Linked DNA regions of Neurospora crassa OR74A. The protein of the gene in region 2 interacts with the protein of the main gene of each other region in a pairwise test. Links are inferred from orthologs where the notes say so. Each region holds a gene or a part of one and is shown on either strand. Other genes may lie near its edges.

What was found.
Region 1: the proteins of NCU07438 (region 2) and NCU06347 interact in binary tests that used the Saccharomyces cerevisiae proteins (3 or more experiments, as listed by UniProt). The link is inferred for Neurospora crassa OR74A from reciprocal best matches to the Saccharomyces cerevisiae genes LAS17 and END3.

The regions. Positions count from the first base shown.
Region 1 is NC_026504.1:2,819,342-2,829,367, reverse strand, and holds NCU06347 (actin cytoskeleton-regulatory complex protein end-3), read right to left. Parts: upstream 4,605-10,026; 5' UTR 4,194-4,604; coding exon 3,957-4,193; intron 3,843-3,956; coding exon 3,608-3,842; intron 3,535-3,607; coding exon 2,816-3,534; 3' UTR 2,603-2,815; downstream 1-2,602. Other genes in the region: NCU06345 (tyrosyl-DNA phosphodiesterase), read left to right, coding at 1-374; NCU06346 (hypothetical protein), read right to left, coding at 958-1,110, 1,307-1,374, 1,568-1,652; NCU06348 (myo-inositol-1-monophosphatase), read right to left, coding at 5,465-6,264, 6,373-6,490; NCU06349 (hypothetical protein), read right to left, coding at 7,501-8,166, 8,282-8,383. UniProt on the Saccharomyces cerevisiae protein: Component of the PAN1 actin cytoskeleton-regulatory complex required for the internalization of endosomes during actin-coupled endocytosis. The complex links the site of endocytosis to the cell membrane-associated actin cytoskeleton.
Region 2 is NC_026501.1:624,972-635,212, reverse strand, and holds NCU07438 (WASP-like protein las17p), read right to left. Parts: upstream 8,862-10,241; 5' UTR 8,640-8,861; intron 8,461-8,639; 5' UTR 8,061-8,460; coding exon 7,851-8,060; intron 7,795-7,850; coding exon 6,126-7,794; intron 6,049-6,125; coding exon 6,017-6,048; 3' UTR 5,626-6,016; downstream 1-5,625. Other genes in the region: NCU07435 (chitin biosynthesis protein CHS5), read right to left, coding at 1-495, 567-638; NCU07436 (hypothetical protein), read right to left, coding at 1,464-2,492; NCU07437 (eukaryotic translation initiation factor 1A), read left to right, coding at 3,147-3,205, 3,409-3,449, 3,587-3,636, 3,713-3,870, 3,953-4,118; NCU07439 (hypothetical protein), read right to left, coding at 9,526-9,687, 9,770-9,841.

The DNA.
Region 1 (10,026 bases), on a different chromosome or scaffold from region 2:
CTTACGAGATTGGCGTGTTGGTGTGGCCGGAGTTGTTTGCGGATAGTGATGGTACTAGTAGTGGCAGCAAAATGGGACAGAAGGCGGTTATGGTACCTACTTTTCTCAAAGATACCCCTGCGATTCATGGCAGTGAAAAAGATAGACCGTCTTCATTGGGGGAGAAGCAGGGTCCTACGTCAACTAGCAGGAACGGCGAGAAGGATGGTAAGGGAGATGATGAGAAGGAGGAAAAGTCTTCGACGGTGGTGGTAGGATTGCGGATGCCATATAACCTCCCGTTGCAGAGGTACGGGCTGCAAGAAGTGCCTTGGGTTGCCACGGCGAACCACTTGGAGCCAGACTGGATGGGGCAGGTTTGGCGGCATGGATGAGTTGCGGAAATGGTACGCAGCTGATCAGTCCATTGATGTGGGTGGTTAATCTGCCCCTGAAATGAACTTCTTGATGAGCCTACAAGTATGTGGTCAGTATAGGACGGCACAGCCTTCCTGTTTGGTAATTGATACCCCTTCCGCTTTCCTCTCGTGTGGATGTGATTCCACACGCGGCTCAAGCGGTCACATCATGTCATGTCTTGTATAGACGGGATATTACAGACGTTTCTAATGTAGTGTAACTGAACCCGCAGGAAACGGGGATATTTCTCGTTTGCAGATCTGGACATATACACGACATAGGTGGCTTGAACTGCGTACCTCGATACTTGATATTTCCATTGTTGTCAAGACCTCAGCAGCATCTTCCTGAGTGTTTTGGTCCAGACAAAGATCGACACGACATCCGTCTCTTGTGATTGTGCAACTACGGCTTCCATCATACCACAAGAGCCTTCACCACTTCCCATCACCGACTAGACTCCACATACAGATAGACCGCGTGCAAACATGGCCTCGAACACTCTTCGGTCTTTGTAAAGGGCATTATATTATAAGCTCAACGGGGTATCTAAACTCCTTAGTTGGAGCCAACAGCCTCGGGGGCCTTGTTCTCATCGTAGCCGTACTGGGTCTTCATCTCCTCGACCTTGGCGACGTACTTGGTCTGGGCCTCCTCGGCCGAGAGGCCATCGTCGACAACCTTCTGCCAGGCGTTGTACTTGGCCTTGCCCTGTTATTGGTAAAGAAAAAGAGGTAATGTGTTAGCTACTGTGTCTGGGCGGAGGAAGGGGACAGCTATGGAGGGGCCATGGATGAATGGAGGTTTCGTGATTTGACCAACAGCTACCAGAGCACGCGCGCACGCCTGATGAATAGAGGTGGGATGAAATGGGGTATAAATAGCGGGAAGACAGAACGGAACGAACCTTCAGGTCGAACATGCCGGGCTTGTCAGCCTTGGAGAAGTCGGCGCCGGTGGCGACCTTGTAGAGAGCTGTGAACGGTTGGAAGAGAATGTTAGTTAACTGCTGCCTTGCCCGTAGTCATGAGTTTTTGTTGGAGCTCCAGCTCTGTTCGATTGCGCGCGCGAGAGACTAGTAGGTAATATAGCCCTCGGCTGGTTCGTGGTTCGCCGCCAGCGCAAAGAGCATACATATGGGAGTGGGGTGGGACGTGACGCGACGCACCATAGATCTCGAGAAGGTCCTCGTTGGAAGGCTTGGAAGTAAGCTTCTTGGAATCGGCAACGGCCTTCTCGAAAGCGGCAGACATTTTGATTGTTGGGGGTGGGTGAGTTGGTTTACTGTGGTAGAGGTATCTGTGGGTTAGCTAAAGACTCGAACGTGGTTACAGATACAAGTTGCGCGTCGCGTACGTACGATGGGTATATATGGAACTTGAAGAAGATGGAAATGTGGAGGCAAAGGAGACGAGAATTCAAAAGGTTGAGGGTTGAGGCAGGGCAGTTCTTTTAAGTATGCGAAGTACCTTCACCTTGTACCTAGACTACAGCACGACTTGTTGAGGATCCAAGGATGGGATGAATTGCAACTCTGGAACCGGATTGGCGGGGTAGGTACCTTCCAGGCTCCAAAGTGCGGAGTTAGGTAAACACTCGCTGTGGAATGTCCAACAGCGAATGGTGGAGAGGGGTCTTTTTCCCCTGGAAGCTTTTCCATGTGACCATGAGCGTCATTGCCCCACTAGTGTACTCATCGATCCTACGATAGCATCCACAACACCCTCTTCAACTCATTTTCAACCTGACAGCCTCACTTTACGCTTATTTATCGTGGACTCAGCTGCTCAAACCAGTAATTACATGATCCAGATGGGCCCATGTGAAGATGCAATTCATTCGTACCTTTTGAGATGTTCCAACCACAGCAACTCCGAAGCAACATATTGCTTGTGCCTGCATATTTGGCAGGACATGTATATCAAGGTACCAGTGGAATAAGACTGGAAATGGCATAAACTAGGATTTCCGATGCCTCTTCACGCTGATGAAATCGAAAAGATATCTATACGGTCAAACTATTCTACTCCTTTCACATTTCCCGACAGCCTCTAGCGGCAACAAGCAGAGCCACCATGTTGTTGCTTAGACAAGCGCTGAGTGCAAAGGCGCGTGGATTGTGATGCTTAAATTCCCCTGAAAAGCACAGTCAACATGATACCTTTCATTGTAATATACCATAGCACCTGGGAAAATTACACAGTCAAGATATGCGCCATCAGGCAGCTTGTTGTTACTCCACTGAATGCCATTAAGAGATTATGCTGTCTTAGAAAGATGAAACGTAACCGATGAACCCAAATCATTCCTGTCCTGGCAAACTGCCCATGGTCTTCGCCTCGAGGAACCCAGCAAAATATCACAGCCCGCTCTCTCTACCTCTTCAACCCATCTCCCTGTACCGACCCTCAACAGCTTACCTCCCAACCTTCTCCTCCTCAATCTCCCTCTTCAACTGCTCCAACACGTCCTGCCTGCTCCTCAAATGCGCCTCCAGCCCTTCCACCTGCTCCTTAACCGTCGCCAAATCATCCGCCACGCTCTTCAGGCTCCCACCAGCCGCCGCCTTCCCCTTACCCTCCTCCAAGTCCCTCAATTCCTTGCGCTTATAATCCAACAGCTGTTCCAGCTCCCTCTTGACCAGTGCCGGCTTTGTATCCCTTTTCCCGCCCCTACGACGGTTCGCCGCCTCCTCAACCTTGGCCATCTTCTCGTCCAGCTCCGCCAGCTGCTTCTTCAGCCTGACTTCCTCCCACTGATCGTCCGTCTGCTCGGACGAGAAGTCGGTGCCGGCCGTCTTGAACGAGGAACGGCCTAGGCGCGTCAGGTACTGATCGCCGAACTTGGCCTTGCGGCCGGTAGAGGTCTCATCGTCGGCCTTTTGGGCCCAGCGCGACTGCGACGGGTCGTTGACGTTGTATGTGATCTTGTTGCGCTCGAACGAGGCCCGCAGAGAAGCGGGAACGGTGCGCGGGATGCGGAAACCTTCGTGGCGGTAGTTGAGGATGTGCAGGAAGGCGAGGCAGGCATCTTTGTTGATGGTCGAGGAGGCCGACGGGTTGACCAGGTTCCAGGCCGAGCGGATGTCGGTGTCGGGAACGGAGAGGGAGTCGTAGAGGTCTTGGAGGGCGGCGACTGCGGGTAGGTAGGTAGATTAGTATGAGGTTAGGGACCGGAAGGGAAGGGAAAGGAAGGGATGTAAACATACAGGAAACCTCGCCGCGCATATCTCGGTTCTCTTGATAGATTTGCTCGTACTTGGACTTATCCGCCGGGCTCATGTACCAGTCAAACCCATCCTTCAAGCCGGGGGTATCGTCTTCATCTTCGACTTGCTCGAATTTCGGCGCCTTGCCGGTTAGCGCGCGGTTCGCTTGCACAAGGTGGGCTTTAGATTCGGGGACAAGCCAGTCTGGGAGAGTTGTCGGGACATCAGCGTATTCCTGTTACCGTCTCCCCCTGTTAGTTCTCTGATACTGCTGCTATTACTGCTCCCATGCTTGCTTGCTTGCTCGCTCGCTCGCTCGCAGCTTCAGGACAGAAGGAGGTAGACGAACCCCGTTCAAAAGGTCAAAGATGACCCTCATCGCAACACAAAATTCCTCGAAATCAAGGTTTCCGTCATTGTCCACATCGGCCAGATCCCAAACACGCTCCAGCTGGTCATCGCGCAGGCCACTGTTCTTCAGCACCGGCGCCGCCTGCTCGCCCGTCAGGAACTTGCCGCCATTTGTTCGCGCCGAGAAGATGTTCCAGTACGTCTCGATTTCCTGCGCTTCGATTTTTGGCGGCATTGTCGCGGTTGGCTTCGTAGTAATTATATGCGTGTAAGTGGGTTGGAAATTTGGCTAGCAGCTACCTCTCAAGCTGAAGGGCCGTGAATCGCAGCGGCAACCTAAGTCCGGGGGCAACGGCTTCCGGTTCCTGTCCGGTGGTAATGCGGTCGTCGACGGGAGCGCTGATTGATTGACCGACTTGGAAATGATGAGAGCAATTGACGATTCGATTAAGCGAGACGGTCACGGAAATAAGTGGAGATTGATACTCGGGTCAATGTTAGATAATGGAAATGAAGTTCGATTGGGTTTGAGGTTATCTCGAGGAAGTCAGGTTGGGTCGGTTGTTGCCAGTGTACAGCCCCGTAGCGCGGTGTGATTACAGTGGGAAGTTGTCAGGCGGATCCCAGGGCAGCTGCAACGTCCAAGCTCCGTCTCTTGTTGTCGGTGGATGATGCCTCGCAGTATGACCGGGACCGGGGGGATGGCCCGATGTGCGCACATGGCTGTTGTGCCTTGCCGTAGCTTCGAGGTACATGGGTCTCCACTTTCTCTCTGCCCCTGAGCCCCTTTTTCATCCAAACAATGGCATCTCGTTGAACTTGTGTCAACTGCATGATGTGATGTTCGTCGTCTTCACGTCCATGCTATAAACTCGAAACCACGCACTCGAGGATTCAAACTGTTTGTGTTTCTTCCCAGTGAGCGACCAGCGTGGTCCAGGTTATAGAGGTTACAGATAAAGCGCACATGCTCACTAGGTAAACCACAGCAACCAGCTCAGCTACCAGTTGGTGCCGATTCCTTCCAGCATTGAAAGGAATAGCAATACTCCAGGCCATGGCATCAAACATGTCTAACTTTATGAGTCATAAAGTCGCAGAAAACCTTTATTCACATCAACGGTCCGATGGTGTAGTTGGTTATCACGTCAGTCTAACACACTGAAGGTCCCCAGATCGAGCCTGGGTCGGATCAAATGCGAATTCTTTTTTTTCCTTCTTTATCAACCTTTCTGCAACGTACCTTGCCACATCTTCACACATCAAGGAACGAAATCACCTTCAGTTTTCTTCTTGATCGGCCATAGGACCGTGATGCAGCTGTCACTCACATTGCTGACGGGCGAACGACCCTTTCCCGGATATCGCACCCCAATCCAACCCTTCTAACGATAGCCTTAACTCATCTAGTCGACATCTTTCCAAATCCAATATGCCTGCTTATTACTTGACCCAATGCCTGATAACCTAAGCCCGTACCCAAAACCGCGTCATGTTCACCAACCATTAGTGCTTATATTCCATCCTGTCATCCCCAACAACCCCCCAAAACTCCTCCACAATCTCCTTCTGTCCGCTCTCCGCTCCCCTGACGGCCAAATACAACCTTGAATCCAACTCCGGGTTCCAATCCCCCGGGTTTGCACTAACCATAATTCCACCCGCCTCCTCGAGAATACACCACCCCGCCGTCACATCCCACGCATAACACCCGCCCTCCCAGTACATATCGACCTGACCAGCCGCCACTGCGCAGATGTTCAAGGCCGCGCTGCCCAAGCTGCGCAAGCTGTGCACCATACACCCGCCATTCTCCTTGGCAGCCGTCAACTGTCTAAACACCCTGGTCTTGATATCAAAGTTCTTTCCCTCGCGCTGACTACCCCACTCGACCGCCACCAGGGCCGTGGAAAGGTCTCCTAGCGGCTGGCCCCCATTCAGCGGCAACTTTTGCTTTGGCCCCTGTCCCTTTCCTGGTTCGAGAGAGGCGTTGCGCTGACAGTAGGCGCCCTGTCCCTTGGTGGCCGTCCAAAGCGTATCGAGAGCGGGGTTGTAGACAACGCCCACCGCGGGGCGGCGGTCGAGGGCGAAGCCGAGCGAGATGCAGAAGCCGTGCGGGTAGCCGTGGACGAAGTTGGTGGTGCCGTCAATGGGGTCGACGATGAAGGTCGGGGCGGAGGTGACTTTGGTTTCCCCGGCGACGTAGGTCTCTTCGCCGACGAATGAGAAGGAGGGGTATTTGGAGCGGAGAGTGGTGGAGACCATACGCTCTACGGCTTGGTCGGTTTCGGTGACAATGTCGGCGGCTGTTGAGCAAGGGAAAAGGGTTGTTAGTCAAGGTAGTTGAGGTTGCTTGCCGAGGATGAGTAGGTGACTGCTGGGGAAGAAGTCGGAGGACAAGGAAAGGCACACACAGTTCATCTTCGAACCCTTGTCAATGTTGTTGGGGTTGGCGGCGAGGATCATGCGGCCGGCCTCGAAGGCGACCTCCACGAGAGTGTCATGGATCTCTTGAAGGTTGATGTCGGGCATGGTGATGGTGGTTGCCGTTGTTATTAGATATTCGAAATATAGTATAGCAGTGAAGGACAATACTAAATGACAACGGCGTCGTATGAAGGAGCTTATATATAGATGAACAGCTTTGTTTTTATAGTTGACCAAGTGTCAATGGAATTGGTATATTAGAAGGAGAACCTTGTTGGTTATAAGCTCTCAGAACTCGGGGGTACATAAGCTACAAGATGGCATGCGCGGGGGAGGTGGAGAAACAGCTAAGCTTCCATGTCATGGTGTGATGGTCCGTCCCGTCAGGGGCTCGGCCAGCTCGGCGAGGGTGGGGCGGGATGCGGCGGAAGTGGGGTCTTAAAACATGTTCTCTTTCCGGTTTCATCCCACCATCCGGTATCCCGAGGGAGACATTGGACGGCCGCAAGACTGATAACGCACGAGGGAAGACCGGAATGAAAGGATATTATGGCGTCGCAATCGAATACGGGATGCATCATATGTATTCCCTCTTAACTCTTGAAAAAGTGGGCGTGCTGGAAAGTTAGGTGGTCGTTCGGTCTGTGTGAATACTTGGTCGGTCGTCATGAAGATCCTCCCTTACCAGCCACAGGTTTCCGCGTTTGACGTGCTTGGGCATTCTCAACCCATTGAATAATACTGACGATTGGTGGGTTGCTTCTCGTATGGCCTTTCTCATTTTCAAGTAACTCTTGCGGCAGTAATCGAACACTGATAGAAAAAGAGCCGTGCCCCAACTCCCAACTAGCCGCCTTTCCCAGAAATGACGAACCACCCAAATCCAAATGTTGCCCATGCCGCATCTTTGCGTAAAAGCATAGTGATATCCGTTAATAGTTACACGGACACCTCTTTCTCGTAAAGACACGTCCATGCCAGAATCATGTAGCCGCGCCTATAACACCCCCAGTAGACCATACCTCGTGCTTTTCGTGATCAGAAAGCCGAGAATTGTTTTTCTTATCCCTTTCGTTGTGCTGCCCACGGTGTCAATCATTCATTCGGTCATCACTTCATACATCCTCTCTGAAGATAGACCTCCTCTCCACTGGGGTCTCAGGCTCGCCATTGTTGTGACCACTCGGCTTTGAGGCTCCCGTGCCCTCGATCGGACGGGGGCTGACGCCTCTCATGCTAACGTTGGTGTGATCCGCGGCAGCATCGTCGAACGGGTTTTGGGGGGCAGACACACTCAAGCCCTTGTTCGCAGCCGGGCCAGGAGAACGGCTTCTCCTTCTACCTCTCTCTTCCTCGGGATCTGCGAACGGGTTGCTAGTGCCAGTGCCGGTGCCAGGCTGACTGTTGCCGGGGTTGGTCGCCAGGTTCATCTGGTAGCTCCTTCCTCCGTAGCTCGTATCATCGCCAAGGTTGTTGTGCCGAGAGGGCTGCATTTCCGTCTCCTCATAGTATGCAGGTCCATAGCCATCAGCCTCTTGTCCAACACGCGCATCCCATGCCTCATCTGGGTCGAGGGGTCCGAAGCCGCGGCTCCGGGCGGCGTTAGCGTTAGCACCGGAAGGCTCGTAGGCACCAGCTGCAGTGCGATTGTTGTTCTTCTTGAACTTTCCGAACCAGCCCTTAATACCGCCGGAAGAAGAAGAGGTGTTGTTGGCATAGGGAAGGGAGTTTGAGGGCTCGGGCCAGAAAGGGATGTATGAGGTGAGGGGTGGTGGAGGGAGCTGGAAACATGATGTTAGTTATGTTGCCAATCATGATTCGTTCATAGAAAAGATTGGAATTCGCCATCGCAGATTCGAAAGAGCAGGCGATGTTGAAACCCGACGGACAACATACCCCGAGACGTGTTGCTTGGGCGCGCGAGATTAGGACATAGAAGATGGCGGCAGCCACCACTGCGAGGAAGATGCAGAGGATGATAACGCTAGCCGGCCCCATGGTGAAGGTCGAGTTGGGTTTGATGGCTCAGTCCCTCTTTTCTTCTCCGTTTGTTTGTAGTTGAATGGGAGAAGGAAGCGGGCGGAACGGGCGGATCGAGATCAAGGAGGTCAATGGAGTCGTTGGTCGTACGTAAGTGGCTCTCCGCTCGCATCCGTCGTAGTTGAAAAACGTCGGAGATAGCTTTTGCGGTCGCTCGTTTTGACGGGTTAGGTGGTGTGTGAGTGTGGGTAAAACCGTCGTAAAAGAGAGGCTGGCGCAAGAGCGGGAAGAAGACAGCCGTTTCGCAGAGTTCGTAGGCGGCTGGGTCCCGGGGGTGTGAACCACAGGTACCTGAATCTGAGGCACTGCTATTCCTCGTATGTTTGTATGTGACACGAAGAAGACAAAATGAGACTTTAATCGTGTGTATGTAGAGGTACTCTACGGGTGATACGGAATCCGGACCGGTAGGAGAATAGCAAATGGTGGAGGAGTGGAGGGTGGTGAAGTTGATCTGTAGCTCCGCGACCACCGAATTGAAGAGGAAACGCACTGCGTCAGCGGGGTCTCCCTGCCCACAGCCGGTGGTTTGAGCGGGACTTACTTGGCCAAGACGACAAGGATCAGTGATCGCAAACATCCAGATCAGCCAAGACCGCCGGTTATCTAAGCCCAAACGGGCCGTAGTGATCGATAGTGACAAGCTTTAGCGGGTTCCTGCCACCCTAAACCCTGCAGGTACAAGTTGTGCTTGGCATGCCAACTTGCAACCTTGTTGCTTCTCTTTTTTCCTGTCGTATTTGCGTATGTGAACACTACCACTGACAACACCGTTGGGACGGGTTTTCTTTCTACTTTTTGTTAATCGATATCTTTATAAGTCCTTTGGATGTAGCAGACATGAGTAATTTTATCCAGTCAAGCGAAATACTACCAACCGATCAGGCGGGCCAAAGTCGGATCGTGGAGTGGAGAGCCATGAGGGTTCTTCCTTCCGCATTATCCGTCGAACTGTTCTAGCTTCGCACCTTCATCGTACGGCATATCCGGTGGAAAAAAAGAGAAAAAAAGAAAAAGACAGAAGAAAACAGGAAAAACAGGATGGACTTCACAAGTGCGAGACGACCGAGCGAATTCGAGCCATGCTGTGCTACGAAGAAAGTACAACCATTGCCCAAAGGTAGCTGAAAGACAAGCAGCTCCTAGAGTCTCTAGTCATTCAACACCAAGTTCTTCACAAACTGACCCTGGGATGATGCCGTCAAAGTGCCTGCAGGTCGTTTTTTGTACTGACCTTGTGCTGATATATTTCACCCTAGTCGTATCATAGGCCACACGCTCGGGTCAGCAAGCCATGCCACTATACCAACCTCTCAACGCTTCAAGGGCAACGAAGCCAATGGGACTCTACTGAAGAGGAGTATAGGGACCCTGAGATCATGTCGCTTTCTCAGACCCTGAACCTGTTTTATAGAGAACATTGGGAAGACAAGGTTGACGAGAAGGTTGCTTTGTATGCCTTCCAGCAAGTGGACACCTCGTCAGGCAGTGTCTTATATCTTGTCATTGGATCTGACAAAAGGCGGAAGGTTTGCTTCGAATTGTTGAAGAAGAGGACAGTCAAGGAAGCTCTCCCTCAATTTAACAGCAGCGCCTGCTCT
Region 2 (10,241 bases):
CGAGCGGGCCAGAGACTCCCTGAGTGCGGGAGGGAGGATGCCCGTGGTGATGGTGATGCCGCTGAGGTCCGTCATCTTGTGTGTGCGGACCACGACCTTGTCGCTGGCCAGGGTGCCGGCCGTTGTGCGCAGCACCAGGTGGAATGTGTACTCGGTGTCGACGGCCAAGCCCGAAATCTTGGTCGAGTGCATGGCGGTGGGTTTGGGAATGTTGCCGGCCTTTTGGCCGTTGCGATAGAGGGCCAGGCTGATCAGGTCGGCGGTTGCGAGATCGATGGGGTCCCACTCGAGGACGACGCTGGTCTGGGTGGCATTGCGACAGCGCAGATTGGGAGCCTTGGGCTCGGCAGCACCGAGGGCGTTGAAGATCTTGTCTTGGAGGGCGCGGAAGGCGCGTTCGGCTTCGTCTTCTGAGGCAACGTTGCGGGCAACGGTGACGTCGACAATGGAGCCCGAGGAGATGTCGGGGGGCAGGAGGATGGAGGGGAACTCGATCTGGCATCAGAAGGTGAGATTAACACTTGTCTTGTTCCTTGACTGGGGGTCACTGCTGGAACCAAACATACCAGTCGCTTGTCCGGAGTTAGGAGGACGGTGACGCCGGCGTCGACCTTGCCGACGGTCAGGGAGACGAGCATGATGGCTCGCGATGGGGATGTGGCCGGATTGTTGGTAGGTAGAGAGAGGTAAGTAGGTCGTCAAGCTTGGGAAGATGTGTAGACTACTAGGTAGGTAGCTACAGCTTCGACCGGGGATTTCAAGTGCTGTGTGGCCTCTTTGGAAAGCTGCAGATGATAGCTGCTGCCCTGGCGGAATCTCGAGTGGTTGACTTCCGCTTGGTTGGTTGATTCCTGTCTTCCGTTTGTGATACTGTACTGGAGCTGTTCATACAGTAGAGGTACCTAAGGTAGTGTACTCGAGCCAAGGAGCAACCTAAGGGACGGGAAGCAAGCTGTCGCCAAATCTCACGGGCAGGGCATTCAGGGCATTGCCTGAACTGGACCTCAATTGGAGCTTCCCTGACTGCCAGCGACGGGCTGTCCAGTGCTGCTGAACCTCCCTGGAGCAGCTCCCTTGTTGACGGGAAATGTGGAGTCTTGGCCGGAAACGCACACCTCGACGGGAGCCTGTGCTTGGCGCCAAGACTTTGATGCTTCCCCTGAATGGTTCCACTCCAAAAGGTACGTATCTTTTCCACTTCTGAAGCTCTTGGTGGTGTTCGAATATCAGGTTTGGGTGTTGTTGTGAACGGCTTCTTTGGTTCCCCAAGTAAAGGTAGGTATCTTAGTAGTACTGATCGCTTCCAATGTGCGTTACATCCTTCCGACGTCCTCTTACTGTTACTCTATATGCTGTAGAGGTAGACAGCTGGCTACAAAGAGACCCCTCGGCGAAGTCGACACTCAACTTGCGTTTGCTCTTAAGAGTCTACCAAGCGCCCACCTTTCATCTGTCCCCAAGTCCTACTTCGATCCTGGATTTTGCTGACGGGTTCGGAACCGTTCGGCAAGCTGTTGTACACGGGAACTGGATCCGTCTCCTTTCATACTCCCATCCCTCGCCCTTGGCTCCGAAACCCGGTTGCCAGCACGCATGTCGGTCTGTGCTGTCTCTCTGGTGTTTCTGTAACTTCCAGCACTCGGCTGCCCTGAGCCACGTTGTTGCAGCTGATCGCTGTATCCTCTGTTTTGAGGTGGCACGCTAGATCCTTTGTGTTGAGGGGACTGTTCGCCAACACGAACCCGCCTAGGCTGAGCCTGTATCGGCCATTGTGGGACTTGGAGCTGTTTGATGATATGCTTCTTCATCAGTTTGTCAAGCGCGTCATGGATCTCGTGGTCGCTCATCTGGATGAACTCCTTGCCGTGTGAGATGCGAACATGAATGGTGCCGTGAAGCACCGATGTGTCGTCGAATCCCGGCAATCGATCCCCCCACTGGCCATATCCATTCGCCTTGAGAGCCTTGTGGACAGCCTGTCTCAACCTGTTCACGCACACGGTCTTCACTACGGGACGAAGGTCGGCGTCACCGTTGTAGACAAACAACCATAATGGTCGGTGCTTCTTGGAGGTGTAATGGTGGAGGAACATGTCTGTCAAAGGATGTTCTCCTACACCAAAGTACTTCATGACCGACTGTCTCGTATAGCAATGCTTCGTGGCCGTCGAGACCATGAACGGAGCATTGGCAAGATCCTGCCCTTTGACTGCCTTGACGTCGTAATAAGTTCCAATATTTAGCGCGTCGGACAGGGCCTTGACTCTTTTCGATAGTACCGGCTCACTATAAGGACTCCAATTCAGCTGAGTGTAGCCGTATCCTTGCGCCGCATCTTCTGGGATCTTGGCCTTCATGCCCTTGCCTCGCCGTTGATCACAGCCTCTGAGCATCAGAGGGCGTAAGGGTCGCCATCTGGTCTTGATAGTCGACGCCAAGTCAACAAGGCCAGCAGCTGAAGTGGCACGCTTTGGGATGGAAGGCAAGGACATGGAAAATGGCCAGTCGGCTGCGCGCAACTCTGTAGTGACTTGAAAGTTTGGCGCTGATGGGCAAATAATCGAACATCATGTTGACGGTGGATGAAGACACAGCCGTGGTGGGTGAGAATCAGACGTGCGGTTGCCGTTGTCACAAGTATTTTACCAGTATTACCTTACCGTACTGAGCAAATTTGGTCCAAAATCAGCCACCCACATCCACGGGCATACACAGTATTATGTGATAATTATGCAACAGCCGAAAGAACTGCGCAAGTCCGCCATGACTCAACTGCACCATTTTGCCTGCGCTTTGGACCTTTTGATTCGTCAGCACAAGGTCCGAGCCACCCCTTTTCGCCCATTTTGCCCTACAAGTAGCCCACCTTCCATGATTTCTCTCCCAAGTCCGTATCAAAGATTCTCCACATCGACAATACCAAAACGCCTTGCTTTCGTTTCACGGCGGGCGTGTGAAAGACGGGTACCCAGAACCCGCCATTCCTCCAGTGCTCCAGCACAGTTCTTGACCCCCAACCAAGTCCGTCATCCACTCCACGCAGCCGTTGCTGGATTTTTGTCTTTCTTCTCGCATCAACACCCAATTTACACACCGCACCTACACCGGCCAGCCGACACCCGTAGTCGTCGACAACAACAGCCAACATGCCTAAGAACAAGGGAAAGGGTGGTAAGAACAGGAGAAGAGGAAAGAACGAGAACGAGTAAGGATTTTTTTTTTTATCTTTCCCAGCTCTTTTTGCCTGGTGTTGCCCGCCCGCCGACGACGACCAAGACCCATCGCGCCGCCCCGCATCGCCGCCACTACCAAGCACCATGGCGATGCGCGCGCATACTAGCTCGTCGTCGACAGAGTCGCATACCATAGTCCTTGCTTCTTCATCATATAGCTAACCACTTTGAACAGCAATGAGAAGCGCGAGTTGACCTTCAAGGAGGAGGGTCAAGGTACGTGAACACCCCGGTGTGGCGAGCAAGCGAAACGCACACAGCACACAGCAAAAACCTGCGACATCGACGCTCGCCCATGCCTCTCGACAACAACAGCAAACGAACAACAAGCTCACACATGTCTTCCCCTGCAGAGTACGCTCAGGTCATCAAGATGCTGGGTAACGGCAGACTCGAGGCTATGGTATGTCCTTTCCACCCCTCCCTCGTTCGATTACCTACAAGCATAACATACATTCTAACTTTTGCCCCGCTTTCAGTGCTTCGACGGTGTCAAGCGCCTCGGTCTCATCCGCGGCAAGCTTCGCAAGAAGATCTGGATCAACAACGGTGACATCATCCTTGTCTCCCTCCGTGAGTACCAGGATGAGAAGGGTGATGTTATCCTCAAGTACTCTGCCGACGAGGCCCGTTCTCTGTACGTTTTTTTTTTTTTTTCCCTTCCGCTCTCCGTGCTGTCAACAACAGCCCTACTAACCACCTGCTTCGCCCATCAACAGGAAGGCCTACGGCGAGCTTCCCGACACCGCCAAGATCAACGAGACCGACACCTTCGGCCCCAACGAGGACGGCGACTGCGGCTTCGAGTTCGACGAGGACCGTGACTCCGAGGAGGAGGATGGCGCCGAGGCCGGTGGCAAGGCCGTTGATATCGACGACATCTAAACGTGTCGTTGCCTTCTCAACACCATATCGTCGCCTCATTCTTCTCGGCACCTAAGAGGAAAAGAGGCAACAAACACCAAATTGTTACCGAAACATGCGAAATAACGCCACCCTTTCCCAACTTCCCCCTTCTTCCTATCCACTCCCTTTTACGTCCTTCTCTCCAAGTCGGTATCCCCAAAGGGTCTGGCCAGGAAGTAAAGGGGTCGTCCAGGAAAGTCCAAAAAAGCTGTCTTCTCTCTCAAACCATTCTGGTGGTCTCTGTTTTCGGTGTGTGTCGGCCGTACGCAGCCAGCCCACGTTTTTTTTTCAACCCATCAACCATAACCGTTAACAGCAGCAGCCAGTTTGGTTCCCCGACAGTTTGGTGTGCCTATTATTTCCTTGTTTTTCCGGTAACAAGACAAGAAACAAATCTTACGAACAAAATCAGGAGGAGGAGAATCGGAGCCAGGTACAATGGTGGGAGGGACGTCATTTACCTGGGTCCGGTTAGTTGGTTTGCGGGACTCGAGGTCCTACAACCAGGCAGAACGAAGGAGGAAGGCTGGCAGAGTAAAAAAGTTAAAAAAAGGGGGGGCGAAGGACATAAAGAGCATCGATCCATCCGCAATGAAAAGAGGATGGTTACGTGCACTCTGGGATATTAAAAGGGGTTAGGCTGTTTTTATGATAGGATGGCTTTGTCATAAACGTCTTTTATGTTCTTTTAGGGGGCTCTCTCATGTCTGGTTTCTTTTTCTTTTTTTTTTTCCCTCTCTCGAGCTAGGAAATGGTATTTTGGTACGATCACACATTACTAGGCTTCTCGGTTCACGCGAGATGTGTCTGTCGGTCACTGGAATGTGACCCTGTAAGAGCCAAAGCACGTCCTTGTTCTACTCGAGGACAAGACGCAACATGTGTTAAACAGCACCTCTTCATCCCCTCCTCGCTCAAGTCCCCATCCGGCTATGTACATATATCATTTTTCGTTCCTCTTCTTGCTCCTTGCAAGACCCGCCCGCACCGCCCAGTAAAAGTCTTGCTTGTAACAACATTCCATCAACCTCACTAGAAGAGAACCGCCGAGATGTCCTACTCTTCACTATTTATGCTTATCCTGGTCCAGTTGTTCGATATATGACCAACACTTCTTCTACGATGTTTCGGAGCTGTCCGTCTCCCCCTTATTCAAATTGTTTCTATGAGACTAAACCAAACCCAAGTGACGAAGTAATTACTGGTCCGTAGGTAGCTCTCGGAAAGCAGCAGCATAAGAAACTCGGGACTCAGGAACATTGAAATTGTTGAAAGCGGCAACTACTGTAGTCACGCGACCGAGTATTTTCCTTTTTTCCAATACAAAACACTGTCAAACAGTCCTAGGTAGGTAGGTAAGTAAGTAAGTAATCTTCAAGATACATATATATCAATGAAACCTCTTCAGGCACTCGCCGCTGTCTTTGAAGAGTATCAAGTTAAGATGGGAAACAGAGAATAAAAAGCTGGTATAGTATTTCTGAAAGTGGAAAAAAAAAGTATAATTTTGCATTTCTTTTGTTTTCTTGTTAAACACCAGTGACGAGGTGTGAATATTTCCAAATACGGTGAAGCTATATATATATATATAGTATGCAACGACACTGCATCCTTTCTTTCATTCCTTCCTTCCTTCCACCCCTCAGCTTTCCTCTTCCCCTTCCTCTCCTTCTTCTTCTTCCTCCTCCTGTTCCAGCAACGGCCCATCCTCGCCGTCATCATCTCCTCTATGGCCAAATAACGACCAGATGAATGGATGATGGTTGGATATCGGTGTCTCTCCAGTCTTGCTTTTCATTCCTTTTGCACTCTTCTCCTACTTGGAACCTTGTTGTTTTCCGGTGGCTCTTCACCGTGTCATTGTTGGTATCGGGCACTTAGTCCCAATCATCACCATCATCTTCATCATCTGTTTTTCCACCAGTGTTAGCATCATTCTCGACATGCTCTCACACTTCACAAGCCAGGGATAATCCAGATACTTACCACTCTTGCTAACCTTCTCCTTTCTCTTCTGCAACGCCAACGCCAACGCATCCGCCATTCCACCACCGCCACCCGGCGCAGCTCCAGCGGGCGGCAATCCACTGCTTGCGGGCCCACTATCGGAGCCACCAGGAACAGCAGCACCGGAACGATCGCGAATCTGGCTTCTGTCTACCTTCTTCAACGCCCTGATACCTCCCGCGGTCTTGATGCCGTCCAACACGGCCGAACGACTGCCGTCAACAGGTGGCAAGGCAGGGGCGGGCGGTGGAGGCATACCACCTGGAGGAGGGGGAGGAGGAGGGGGAGGGACACCACCCATACCACCCGGTGGAGGAGGCGGAGGCGGAGGCGGTGCGCCGCCTGATGGTGCGGGCATGGGTGGCATGGGAGGCGGCGGCGGGGGAGCATGTGCTGCGGGTAGAGGGGGCGCCGGAGGTGCTGGCGGTGCCGGTGGTGGCGGAGGAGGCGCGCTGGTTGCGGGAAGGGGAGGTGGTGGAGGCGCCTGGGTGGCCGGTAAAGGCGGCGGAGGTGGCGCGTTCGAGGTCGGGAGAGGCGGTGCCTGCGGTGGTGCCGGGCTTCTAGTTGGCAACATGGGGGGCGGCCGTGAGCTCGCAGGCGGGAGGGGAGGTGCTGGTCCCGGTGCCTTGGGAGGCAGAGGAGGTTGCGCAGCTGAATTTCTCGGGGGCGGTGGCGGAGGAACAGAGCTACGGCTGGGAGGCGGCGGGGGTACACTTCGTTGGCCTGTGAATGGCGGAGGAACGCTGAACCTCTGGCTCGGGTCCTGATCTTCGAGTGGCGTCTTCGGCGGCCGGGGAGGTGGTGGAGGTCCAGGCGCAGAGGGCGTATGTCGCGGGGGATCAGAGTGGGCAAACTTGCCAGCATCGGCGATGGGAGGAGGAACAGCAAATCTCGGCGGAGGGGCCGGTTCCTGGTGGTTTTCCGTGTCGAGCTTGCCGGATCTCCTTGCTGGAGGGGGAGGCGGGGGTACTGGCCCTCTCCTAGAGGTCGATGGAGTTATCGACTCGGAGACACTGCGCGGAGCAGCAGCAGGAGGAGGTGGTGGGGGAGCTCTCATTGCGGGACCATTAGGAGGAGCGGATGGCGGCGGCGGCGGCGGCGGAGGAGTGCTCGTGTGTATACCCTGCTTCGCTTGCTCCTGTTTCAAGAACTCAATGATAAAGTCCTGGTTTTCGCGGATGAAGTCGTCGTCGAGGCCTTGGGCCTTGAGGTCGTCACCGAAGTGTTCCCTCCACAGGGGATCGAAAGCATCCAGGGTCGCAAACTCGGAAGGAGGCTTGTATCCGTTTATTCCATTAGTGCTTCCAGCTCTCATACGGCCTGCCGGTGCAGCGGCACGTGGCGACTCGGGCGGGGTGGCTGTCGGAGACGCGTGCTTATGTCCTCCAAACAGACCGCCGAAAAGACCGTGGTGCTTGTGGTGGTGTGCCTGGGATGCGCCTCCGAAAGGTGTCTTGCTGGTAGCCTTGCTGGCGTTCTTTTCCCTGTCGTTCATCTTCTTGAGGAACTGCTTGGCTTCCTTCTCGTCCACGAAGGACAAGCCAGCCAGGCATTCCTCAAGCTCGAAGGTATGGAAGAAGACACGGTCCTGGTTGTAGTTCCAAGTGTCGAAGATCTCCTGGTCCCATATCACTCCCCTGTTTCCGGGCTGTCCGATGTCAGCCAAATGGTGGCCAGCCACGCAATCGTCATTTTCACACTTACCGAGATATCAACCATCTTGATCCAATATGTGTTGCCCACGAGATCATTTGCCAGAACGACGGCACCCTGGAGGCCGGTATAGGTCCATCTGGACGGGTTGGGGTAGGCTACATAGAGCCTGGCGACGGCGACGGCGTGGATCTTGTTGGTCTGCTTGGGCACGCAGCGCTTGACCGTTTCCTTGTCGTCGTCGCTGAGGATGGACGGCATCGTGAATATATATGGGGGGTGGAAGCGTGGAAGTGGCTTGAGGTAGGTTGCGGCCTGTCGTCCCCTTTAGATCGTCCAGGGGGAGCAAAGCATGGATAGATTGGGAGTCGTTATGCGGAAATTCGGTAGAAGGACTCGGCCGGCGGGCGCAGCGCCGAGAGGTACTGTTATGAAGCTGAGTCGTCGTGCCTTGATCCGGTCGGCGGGTCGGTCGGCGAGGGGAGGGGGGCAACGTCGACCGAAGGGTGAGGTAGCAAGTCGGAAGTGGGATGTCGTATTAATGCTTTTCGGGTCGTTGGCGCTTGTTATCGACGGCCAAGTATCTTGTCGGTACAAGATAAAGTAAAGCTCCGCGCTTCCGTGGCCTTGCCGCGTAGGAATAAAAGCAGTTGACGGAAGCCTAGAAGAGACAATGGAAGTTGCCGGTTAGCTAGAGGTAGGTCTGGGTATTGGAGGCACGGATGTTTGGTGGTTGGTGGGAGGAATAAGGAAGACTCGGCCGCCCGGATGTCCAATGACTGAAAGGAGCAAAAGCAGATACTGAGTAGAAGAGACGGCGGCAGGCTGGGAATAACGTACCTCGGACAATGATCCAGCAGCCTTCAGTTGGCAAGCTTAGTTATAATCTGCCGTGAAAATTCAATGTATTAAAGCTGTACAGACTACAGAGAGAGGAGCAAGTCCCATTGCAAGGTAGACAAGAAGGAAGTTGAATTGCGGGTGTACCTGGCAAGAGGTTCCTTAGGCATGCAGTGAGTGTACACTACTTAACTACACTATGTACGGGGATTGGGAGTTGCATCACTACGGCGGCGGCAACGACCGGGCTGTTTGGCTTTGACTGAATGGAATCAGGATGGCAACGAAACCCCAGCAAGCCACAATGACCAATTTCCGACGGGAAGCGACCAACTTGTGGACATGAACCAGATAGCGTCATGACATTGTGCCGGGGGTGGATAGGGCGTCAATTGTCCGTGTCCACTAACAGTGGGTACCTATCCCTCAACTGAACCCCTCCACTATTCCCGCCCGCCGCTTGCACAGCCGACCTTTCGCTTGCCCGCCGTGATGATGGATGTCCAACGAGACGGTTCCTCCGAGAGCTGGGTGTTTGAGGGACATGTTGAAACTGGCAATGACAACAACTTCCATGTGCATTTGGAGGTTATATGGCTCAGGTTGATATAGGATGAAAGTAGTGTAGGTATGTACGAACATGGGATGACATGAAAGTACCTACCTACCTTCACATGCTAACATTGCTCCCATTTGAGACAACTTTCGAGGACCAGACCCCTCTCATTTGGGCGCAATTCCACCACCAAAGTCACTTTAGGCTCCAACAGGACTGATCCATCAGAGTAATTGTCAAAACAGTTCAATTATGTTATGTGTATGTGTGTGTATCATTCAGTCATTGCAATCATTCCATCCATTCCCCTGTTTGTCCGAGTCCATATCTTTACTTGTTGAGCGTCTCGGCCTTGGCCCTGCGCTCCTCCTTGGTGCCCTCCTCGCCGCCGATGTTCTGCGAGATGGCGGGACCGGGCATGGCCTTTGACGCCTGCTCGAACGTGGCCTTGGCACTATCAGCGAGCTTGTTGAGGGGGTTGTTGGGGTTCTTCTATTTGTTTGGCCAAAGAGTCAGTTTTCTGTTTTCTGTGATTCACACAAGGCACCAGACTAGGGAGGAAATGGTAACGTACTTGCTCGTCCTTCTGGGTGTCGTGGGGAAGAATGTTGACTTCCTTCTTGCTGAGATCGTCGCCGCCGGCCATTGTGATGGTCTTGATGTTATGACTTGTCTTGATGGTTCGTGAGGAGTGGGTCGTAGTGAGACAACTGAGAGGAGTCTTGATCAACTTTTTCGATATCGTCTTGCAGGAAGATGGGTAAGGTGTAGAAGTGGAAGGTTTTGAAGGTCGAGAAGGGTCTCTTTTATAAAAGAAAACGATGGATGAGCAAAAGGGAATAAATAGGAAGAAACCTGTAGTCGTCGTACCACGTACAAGGGGCCTAAAAGAGAGGGTGTAAGACAATGACGTCGCCTGGGGGTGGTCACGCGTCGTTTACTAGTGTAGGTATGCGGCGGCAGGCACACTGAATGACAGCTGCTAAAACCTCCCACGAACAGCGCATCAAACCGACAAGACGGAGCATTGGATCTTGACTCCGACT